Neurospora crassa OR74A: one gene and its partner. The protein of the gene in region 2 binds, or shares a complex with, the protein of the main gene of each other region. Links are inferred from orthologs where the notes say so. Each region holds a gene or a part of one and is shown on either strand. Other genes may lie near its edges.

The links. Proteins that work in one complex are often made in the same cells at the same time.
Region 1: the proteins of NCU04370 (region 2) and NCU01188 are in contact, whole or in part, in a crystal structure (PDB 6ZHU), measured with the Saccharomyces cerevisiae proteins. The link is inferred for Neurospora crassa OR74A from reciprocal best matches to the Saccharomyces cerevisiae genes UBA1 and CDC34. Residues at the interface, in NP_012712.1 of Saccharomyces cerevisiae: Arg182, Asp200, Arg202, Phe236, Glu584, Ser588, Arg590, Asp591, Pro592, Pro593, Lys595, Ser596, Ile597, Pro598, Leu599, Cys600, Arg603, Ser604, Phe605, Asp650, Leu691, Asn694, Phe695, Pro696, Ala699, Thr701, Ser702, Phe707, Lys712, Pro915; in NP_010339.1 of Saccharomyces cerevisiae: Lys5, Ser6, Thr7, Ser9, Leu13, Arg14, Tyr16, Arg17, Leu33, Asp36, Ser37, Asn38, Ile39, Phe40, Asp69, Phe72, Ser73, Tyr89, Arg90, Asp91, Arg93, Leu94, Cys95, His100, Gln101, Ser102, Gly103, Asp104, Pro105, Met106.

The regions. Positions count from the first base shown.
Region 1 is NC_026505.1:3,174,799-3,178,750, reverse strand, and holds NCU01188 (ubiquitin conjugating enzyme), read right to left. Parts: upstream 2,460-3,952; 5' UTR 1,961-2,459; coding exon 1,868-1,960; intron 1,732-1,867; coding exon 1,108-1,731; 3' UTR 501-1,107; downstream 1-500. Other genes in the region: cpc-3 protein, read right to left, coding at 3,858-3,952. UniProt on the Saccharomyces cerevisiae protein: Catalyzes the covalent attachment of ubiquitin to other proteins. Capable, in vitro, to ubiquitinate histone H2A. Mediates the initiation of DNA replication (transition of G1 to S phase in cell cycle).
Region 2 is NC_026504.1:3,604,378-3,608,406, reverse strand, and holds the start of NCU04370 (ubiquitin-activating enzyme E1 1), read right to left. Parts: upstream 2,801-4,029; 5' UTR 2,431-2,800; coding exon 2,425-2,430; intron 2,316-2,424; coding exon 1,936-2,315; intron 1,871-1,935; coding exon 1-1,870. Other genes in the region: peptidyl-prolyl cis-trans isomerase fkr-3, read right to left, coding at 3,669-3,696, 3,803-3,844, 3,996-4,016.

The DNA.
Region 1 (3,952 bases), on a different chromosome or scaffold from region 2:
TGTCGAGCTACTTTGCTGGCTTTAAGAGCGAAAAGGATGAAGTGGGCGAAGGATAGCCCTGCTTTTACTTTTTGTTGTTATTGTTGTTGTTGCTGTTTGGACGAAGACAGGGCGAACGAGATGATGGGAAGCCAGATTGGGATGTTGTTTGCCTTTACGTTGTCAGACAATGAAATGCAAGAGCTGCTTGATGAGGTACCCGAGCCCTGTACGTACTATGTACAGTAGGTACACAAACAAGGCGGCAGGGGCAGCTTTTGATTGATGGCAAAAACTGCGGGGAATGGGGGGAAAGGTATTGAGGCACTCCGTTAGGTTTTGGCTGAGGGCCGGGGTAAACGTGGACGATGACAACAAAAGCCAAAGAAGAGATGCATCATGATGATCTTGGAGCGTCGGGCAGGTATCCTTCGGTTTCTCATCGGTTTCGGCCTGCTCACAAATTTCACTTGCTGTACAGAAATGGGTATCTCATGAGGGGATGATGGAGGGGCTTCGGAGGTCAACTGCTCGGTCGCTGAGGGGACATCCCCAAGGCCCGGGCCCCTCTTCACTGTTATGTGTCAAGGGACGGAGGTCTTGGGCTCTGACATCGTGCACGGGCTCCAGACGGGCTATTCGGCTCTCTGAACTCAGCGATGCCATCGCGGGGCTACATCCGCTCATCGCTCCATGAAAACGAAAGTTGAGTCTATAGCTCTAGTCTAGACGTTTCCGCTAAATGTATTCTATGTTACTATGAAGCCAGACCGCTTCCCGTCTTTGCCAATGTCTTCCGCTGTGCAAGAACATTGTGGCTGAGGATAGGCAAGTACTTGGGTGACGGTGTGTCTCTGTATGTAAAAAAAAAAAAGAAAAAAAAAAAGCGACCAATGAAATTCCCACCAGATATGCCTGCTTGGGAGACCACGAAAACGCCCAAACACACCGCGAGTGTCCCCGACGCTATGCAAATATGACGGGTTGAAGCAGAACAAGAATAAGAAAGAGAAAGGTATATCATCACCATCCTGACCCGAACCAGACCCAGCCCAGCTTGACAACGGCGATAAAAACGGTTGCTGCTGCTGTTGAAGGAACAACAAGCAAGTAAGCAAGCAAGTCCTTCTATTGCTTGGAGTTGGAATCGTCGTCGTCATCCTCGCTCCCTTCCTCCCCGTCCTCAAAGTCCTCCATCTCGTCGTCATCCCCGGTGTCACTACCACCAAAGTCAAACTCCTCATCCGACTCGGCCCAAAAATCGTCGTCGTTCTCGGCCTTCGGAGGCGGCTTTTCCTCAAAGCTGACCGGCATCTCGAATCCTGGCGGGATATCCTTCTTTGATCTCTCCACCGTTTCCCGGGCCTTCTTGTTGTAATCCTCTCGGCGGTCGCGGTACATGACGCCCGCGTCCACGTTGGCGGGGCTATTGATTTCAGGGTCGTCCAGCAGCAACAGAACCGACCTCAGCACACTCTCGGCGCCCTGGAGCGGCGACCAACGCTCGCTAGCCTGCTCGCCAGACATGAGGTCCTCGCCGGGTGTGTGCAGGATCGAGATGCAGAGCTGGCCGTCCGGATACACATTGGGGTGGGTGATGGGGATCAGGAAGCGGAACTTGGGCGGCTGGTAGGGGTATTCGTCCGAAAATACCATCTCGGCCCTGAAGTACCCCCCGTTAAAGGCGCTGTCGGGGTTGATGACCATGAGGCCGAAGCGCCACTTGAGGATGTTGAGGGTCGCAGAATCGTCCTGTTTGCGCCAAAGAAGTGAGGGTCAGTCTAGGTTCCGTAGTGAAGGTATAGTGATACTAGAATCGACGTGCCGGTACTGCGCCCGCGAACGACAGACCGGCAAAGGAGAAAAAACGAACGGTACTAGGACGTACATCTTCAAAGTGAATCCACTTCTCCTTTCGTAGCGCCTTCATCTCACTCATCAGGCGCGTTGTAGCGCCCGACGCTGTTGTCCTGTACGACATGGCAAAATGTGGTTACGGAAGTGAAGGCGAGGTGCCGGTGGCGGAGGTTGACAAAAGAAAGAATGGGCTGCCGCTGGAAAAGCCCACTTTACTTCGTTGGTGGTGGCGGTGGTGGTGAAGTAGATATGTTGTGGTGGCTCGTCAAGGGATCGACACGTAAAGTGCTGACGAAGATCCCTCTCGTGCGCAAGATCGGGGGCCTCGAGAGGAAAATGGTGGTATTTGTAGTTTGAGGGGATGTTGGCAAGAGGCGGGCGGGTGTTTGGGGAAGATTGTTAGACGGTCGGTGGTGAAGGCCGGGGTGGGTATTGATCTTTTGAAGAGGGATGGAATGATAACGATAACCAAACAATGGGAACAGACTCTATGGAAGCACGGACGGTCGGGATAGAAGTTCACGGTTTGTCACGATGGTGGTCTTTGGGAAGTGGGTTGGAAATCAAGGGCTGGGCGGTGACAATCTGGAACAATAGAGAGGTTGCGAGTCAGGAGAAAGCAGGGTCAGACGGGAGGAAAAGTGGAAGGGCGTACGAACGTCACAACCGGATCAGGAAAAGGTGTGTGAACTACACTACTACGATGTGAGCGATGGAATCATGGCAGGGTCACGCTTCCCTTGGGTTCCTCGGAGCGAGGACCCGGATAGAAGGTTGGGCAGTCTCTAGCACGCACTCTCAACTTAACCTAAGTCTACACGAAGCAACCGACCCAGACCATTTGTGATGGTCCCGTCATTGCCCAACTTCCTTCTCCCATGGTGGTGCAGCAGCCGAGCTGAGCGAGGCACTGAGGAATCCTAACAACTGCATGTCTCGCCTTACGTTTGTTAATGGTGGTCAACACCGCTGCACAATGGCGGTCTCGGGCTCTCGGCATAGGTACCTACCTCTACATAAGACCAATACACCTGACAGGAGTATCGTCAAAGGAGGGAGGCCGTAATCCCCGCCCTTCCATATTATCGTATTGTAATTGCCCGTCAACCTTTACAAAGCAGGCGGAACCTCCCAGAACGGCCTTTTTTTTTTTTTTTTTCTCTGGCAAAGGGGGGGCCCATCAGACAATCATGTACAATCTACCCGCAAGGAGACGGGACGACACGACGGTGCAGTTCCTTTGCCACTGACAAATGAGCATCCCATGGTGATAGGGCATATTGGTGGTGGTCAGAATTGCAGTTATCGGATGTTTCAGAGGATGCACTAACAATTTCCCAAGTACACTAGATCCCGTCACGGTCCACTGAAGCTACAAAGAAGTGACGCAGTTCCATGTTGTCCTGTTGACTGCCCAGACAACAAATGATCGATGCCTTAAATCGAATCCACATTCGCATCTGTTTCCAAGCATCATATACCCGTCATTCACAACACTTTGCTGTAAATAAGAGTAGGTACAGGTAACGTGTTGCCCAACATGAGGGAAGAAGATGGATCGATTCGTTTGCATACTGGCAGCGGTTCCCATTTTCTCGTAAACCATGGATGGGAAACGTCCGTGCCAGGCAGTTAGAAGATCCGGTGGGTAACAGTAGGCAAGGACCTTGATGGTCAGTTCCTCCGCAATCGGTCTTCTTCCTGGCTTCTTGTGTGCGAACGAACTTCTTGTTGGCCAGCAGGGTGATCTTCCCGTAGTGAGATGGTTGGGCGTTTCACTTGTGACAGAAGGGTTAGGGTTCTGTATAGGAGGCTGACTCAGGTTGAGTTGGTGTTTCAGGGGATCACCATAGACGAAAAGCAAGAGGAACATCGGACGATTTGAAAGAGCAGTGATGCCTTCGGGTGGGATTACTAGCCTTACAACTGTATACCTATTATACACACATCCAACCCACCATCGCCAACGTATCCTACCCAGCTAGGCACCTCCCCAGGGCTTCAATACCCTGCCGACCCGATCAAGCCGACAAGTCGTAATAGATGCACCTCCCCGTCCTGAAATTATACACAAACGCGTGCTCCGATCCCTTCTTGGCCTCCCACTCCCACCTCC
Region 2 (4,029 bases):
ATAGTTGAAGGCATGGAGGTTGGTAGCAGCCTCGAGGAAGCTAAAGTGGGTGGGGTTTTCAGGGTCGAACTTGAGCGGGTCAGGGGCGCGCTTGGGTCCGGACCAGAAGGGGGTACCGGTCGAGGACACGGAATCCTTGGGGAAGTTGTAAAGGAGCTGCTGAATAGCGTTGTTGTACTGCTTCTCGAAGAGCATGCGAGCCCATTGGACACAATCCTCAAAGGTGAGCGGGCGCTCGTGCTTTAGGAAGTCCGCCAACATCTCCAGCGTCGCCTTCTCGTTGCCACTCTGCTTCAGGGTAGTGTCGAGATAGTTTGGCTGGGTCAAGTAGAGGTTGACGGTCTCCGCAGGCTTGACAAATGAGCTCTCGAACAGCTCACGAGCCCAAGCAATGGTGTGCTCGATCTTGTTGGGGAAACTCCTGAGAGTGCACATGGGGAACGACTGCTCAGGAGGATCCTGGGAGGAAGAGTAGGACTCAGTGAGCCTAGGAAGCACCACTTGCGTGTTGCCCTTGGTGCCGAGGGTACCACTCTCAAGGAGAGGCTTGTGGAAGAAAACGCACCGTCTGTCGACATACGTTCTCGCCTCAACGTTGTCCAGCGCGTTAGTGACGCCATCCAAACCCTGCCAGAACTCCTCATTGAAGATCTCCTCGGTCTCGGGACTAACGCGATCCTTGAGAGAAACAATGTGGCCTTCGAGGTCAGGGTTCATAGCTTGCGCGGCCTTGGCCGCGCAGTCACTCTTCATCTGACCAACGTCCTTGGGACGGAACAAGAACTGTCTGTTCAAGTTGGACTTCTCGATCGAGTCCATATCGGTAACGGTAATCTTACCCTCAGGGCCTGTTCCGAGACCAATCATGGCCCAGTTCTTGAGCATCTCACAGCCAATGGCGCCAGCGCCAACAAGGAACTGCTTGACGTTCGAGATCTTCTCCTGAAACTCCTTACCAAAGACCGCAATCTGGCCGTCATACCTGCTACCAGTGGGCGCACAGAGTTCCTCGGTGCGCTTGGAGTTGGTGGGAAGAGCCTCGAGCGCATCGAAGTACATGAACTGCTTAATGGGGTGGAACTTGCCCGAAACAGCCTTGAGGACTTCCTGGGCAGTAAGGCCACCGAAGAAAGCGGCCATGGGGTTAAGGTCACCAGTAGCCTGGTAGCTGAGCTCCTTGAGAAGCTTGTCGTCGAACTCGACGTCAACACCCTGCTGCTTGGCAAACTCCTTAGCCGAGGCGATAACCACAAGCGCATCCTCGTCGTTCATCGGCCTTGGTAGACGTCCCTGAGACTTGGCGAAAGCGTGGAGAGCCTGGAATCCAATATGAAGCTGCTGAGGGCGATCGAACTTGGCGAAGTCGGAGATGACAAACTCGGGATCCTTGAGCGCGTTGGTAATGCTCTTGAACTCGATGGTCTTGGGCATTTTGACCTGCTGGTAGAGACCGCCCTTCTTGTACTGGCCAAGCCCCGACACGTCGCCGATAGAGAAGGTGTAGGGGCCCTTGACGGTGACCTTGCGGGGCTCGCAGCCGTTGAGTCCCTCCATACCCTCAACCTCCGAGAAGGTCACATAGTCGCCATCCTCAAGTCCATGCCTGGTCTCGTCAAGCGCAGAAACGAGACCCTCCTCGTCGATGCCAGCCACGATACCGTTAACGGGGTTTTCGCCGTTCGTGTCCATGACAGTAAAGTTATCGCCGAAATCACAGAAGATGCCGCCAAAGAGACCGTGTGTGTTGACAGCAATAAAGTAGATGCCCTTGGAGTGGCAGTATTCGCCGACAATAGTCTGGAGATCGGTGTGCTGGTTCGTAAGGACGACGACTTGGTACTTGTCAAACTGCGACAGGTTATCGGCGAGACTGTACAGAGGCCACGGTTAGCTACCGAACCTGTCAAGCTCACTCCCGTCCGGTTCATAACCTACCTTGGCGACTGGTGGATGTGAACGGGGGTATAAGCATTGAGCTCAGCAACGCGGGGAGCGGTGACCTGGTCGCGAGGCTTGCCGACATCCTCAGGGCGGAGGAAGAACTGGGCGGAGAGGTCGGCCCAGGCGGCGGGCTCGGGGTCGTGGAGGGTGAGGCTCTTGACGCCAGCAAGGGCCACGTTCTTGGCGATCTCGACGCCGAGGCCCTTGAGGCCGACGATGAGGACGTTGGAAGCGCTCATGCGCTTCATGGCCTCGTGGCCCAAGACATAGAGCTGGCGACTGTAGAGGGACTCATCAATCTCGGCCGTGGTGCCGGCTACTGATTCGTCGACTTGCATCCTGGTGACAAGGTCGACCTCGTTTTTCTGAGTGTCCTGGGAGATGGGCATCACGAAAGTGTCAGACTGACTGGCGCTAGCTACCAGGAACAAGCATCTGCCATCCCAAGTAGGATTCATGTAGACAAACGGGGTTTCAACTCACTGTCATGGTTCTCTTTAGAGAGATGGGTAGGTCCCCTTCGGATACTTTGCGCTTCCCCAGCTTGGCGACTGTTGATTACGGGCGGGCCGGTAGATTATAGATGGTGGAAAGTTCGTGACGCAAACAGAGCAAAAACAAGAACGAGAACTGAACCTAAAGTTGTTGATTCGCAGTGGTCGGGTATTGTGATACTTCAAGTTGGCGATGTTGGTCCAAAGAAAACGCCGATGTTGTAGTTGAATGACTCGGGAAAACAGACGACGGATCAAGCGCAAGTGCTACTATGTCGTACTATGTCAAGGTGCAAGTGCAAGTGCAAGTGCAAGTGGAAGTGGAAGCTGTCTGTAATCTGGAAGGTCGGGCGGCGGGGATGTCGAGGGAGGTTCGGTCAGCCCCGCCACCAGCTGTCAAGCATCAAGGAGAACTGCGGGGAATGGTGATGTGATGCACTGTCCGTCGTTGGCCAAGCACCTACCGCTGCAGCGTGCAGGTCGCTGTACTGCTGTTAGTGCAGTGTGCTGTAGCCTTCACCGTATGCGGCCTCGCACCTATTACTAGGTTGTACGTCTGGAAGTGGCTATGCTAGCTATGTACCTCTAGGTACCTCTACCTCGACCCAACCTCGTTTCACACTGGCTGTGCCCTGTCTCCTATCTGATCGGATAAACCTTGACTCAGAGTCTCATTGATGCTGAAGGGAAGCCAATATGTATTGTGGTTCACGCGCGCATGAACCTGGAAGGAACCGTGAGGACAGCAATAGAAGGATCGAATCATTACTAACACCCCTGGCAGTAGACGGTACGAGGCGGTCATGCACTAGAGGTACTTGCCCGATGTACCGATGGCGGTAAAACGTACTTGGTACAGTAAGCAAGGACCAGCCACTCAGCCCATCCGGCAGGCAACTTGTGCTCTCTTATCGTAGTGAGCCAATCACATTCAATGAGGCGCTTGTAGGTACTTCTCCATATTAACATAGCTGCGCGGGTACTTCAACCTTCCCTGTATCGCTTCAACCTCCCGTCATTCAATTAATTCCTCGTCTTTACCCATCAAGGTTCCTCGCAACGTAAACACCAACCATCTGTGTTTTCGTCATCGCCATCACCGACATAAAATCTATCTTCCCAAAAGAACTTCAAGTTCCAGTGGTTTCTTGCCCAGCGGTCCCTACTTTGGCTCGTTGGAGGCGTTGAACTAAGGACCTCGTCTCCTTTTCCCGAGATCAGTGAACCGCCCAGCTACTGGAGACCCTTGAGATATACGTCACTATCACATATTAGCTCGTATCCTTGCTGACGCTATCTTGCCCGCCGCTACCTTGACTGTAGAGACAAGCTGGAGCAAGATATGTGGCATACAGGAGACAACTCACAAGATCAAATCTGCGTTCGGAGGAATGTGGCCGTGAAAACCCCTGGTGTGCAATAAGTCGGGTCAGCACATGGGCATTAACTCCAAATCAGCACGGCCAGAAGTATCGTGTCTGCGGGTGGTGTTACACCATATAGACTGATTTTTTTGGATTTTCAGAAGAAAGAAAAAAAAAAGGCCTGCAGGTTACTCACCGCTCTCCGTATCCGTAATCACTAAAACATATTG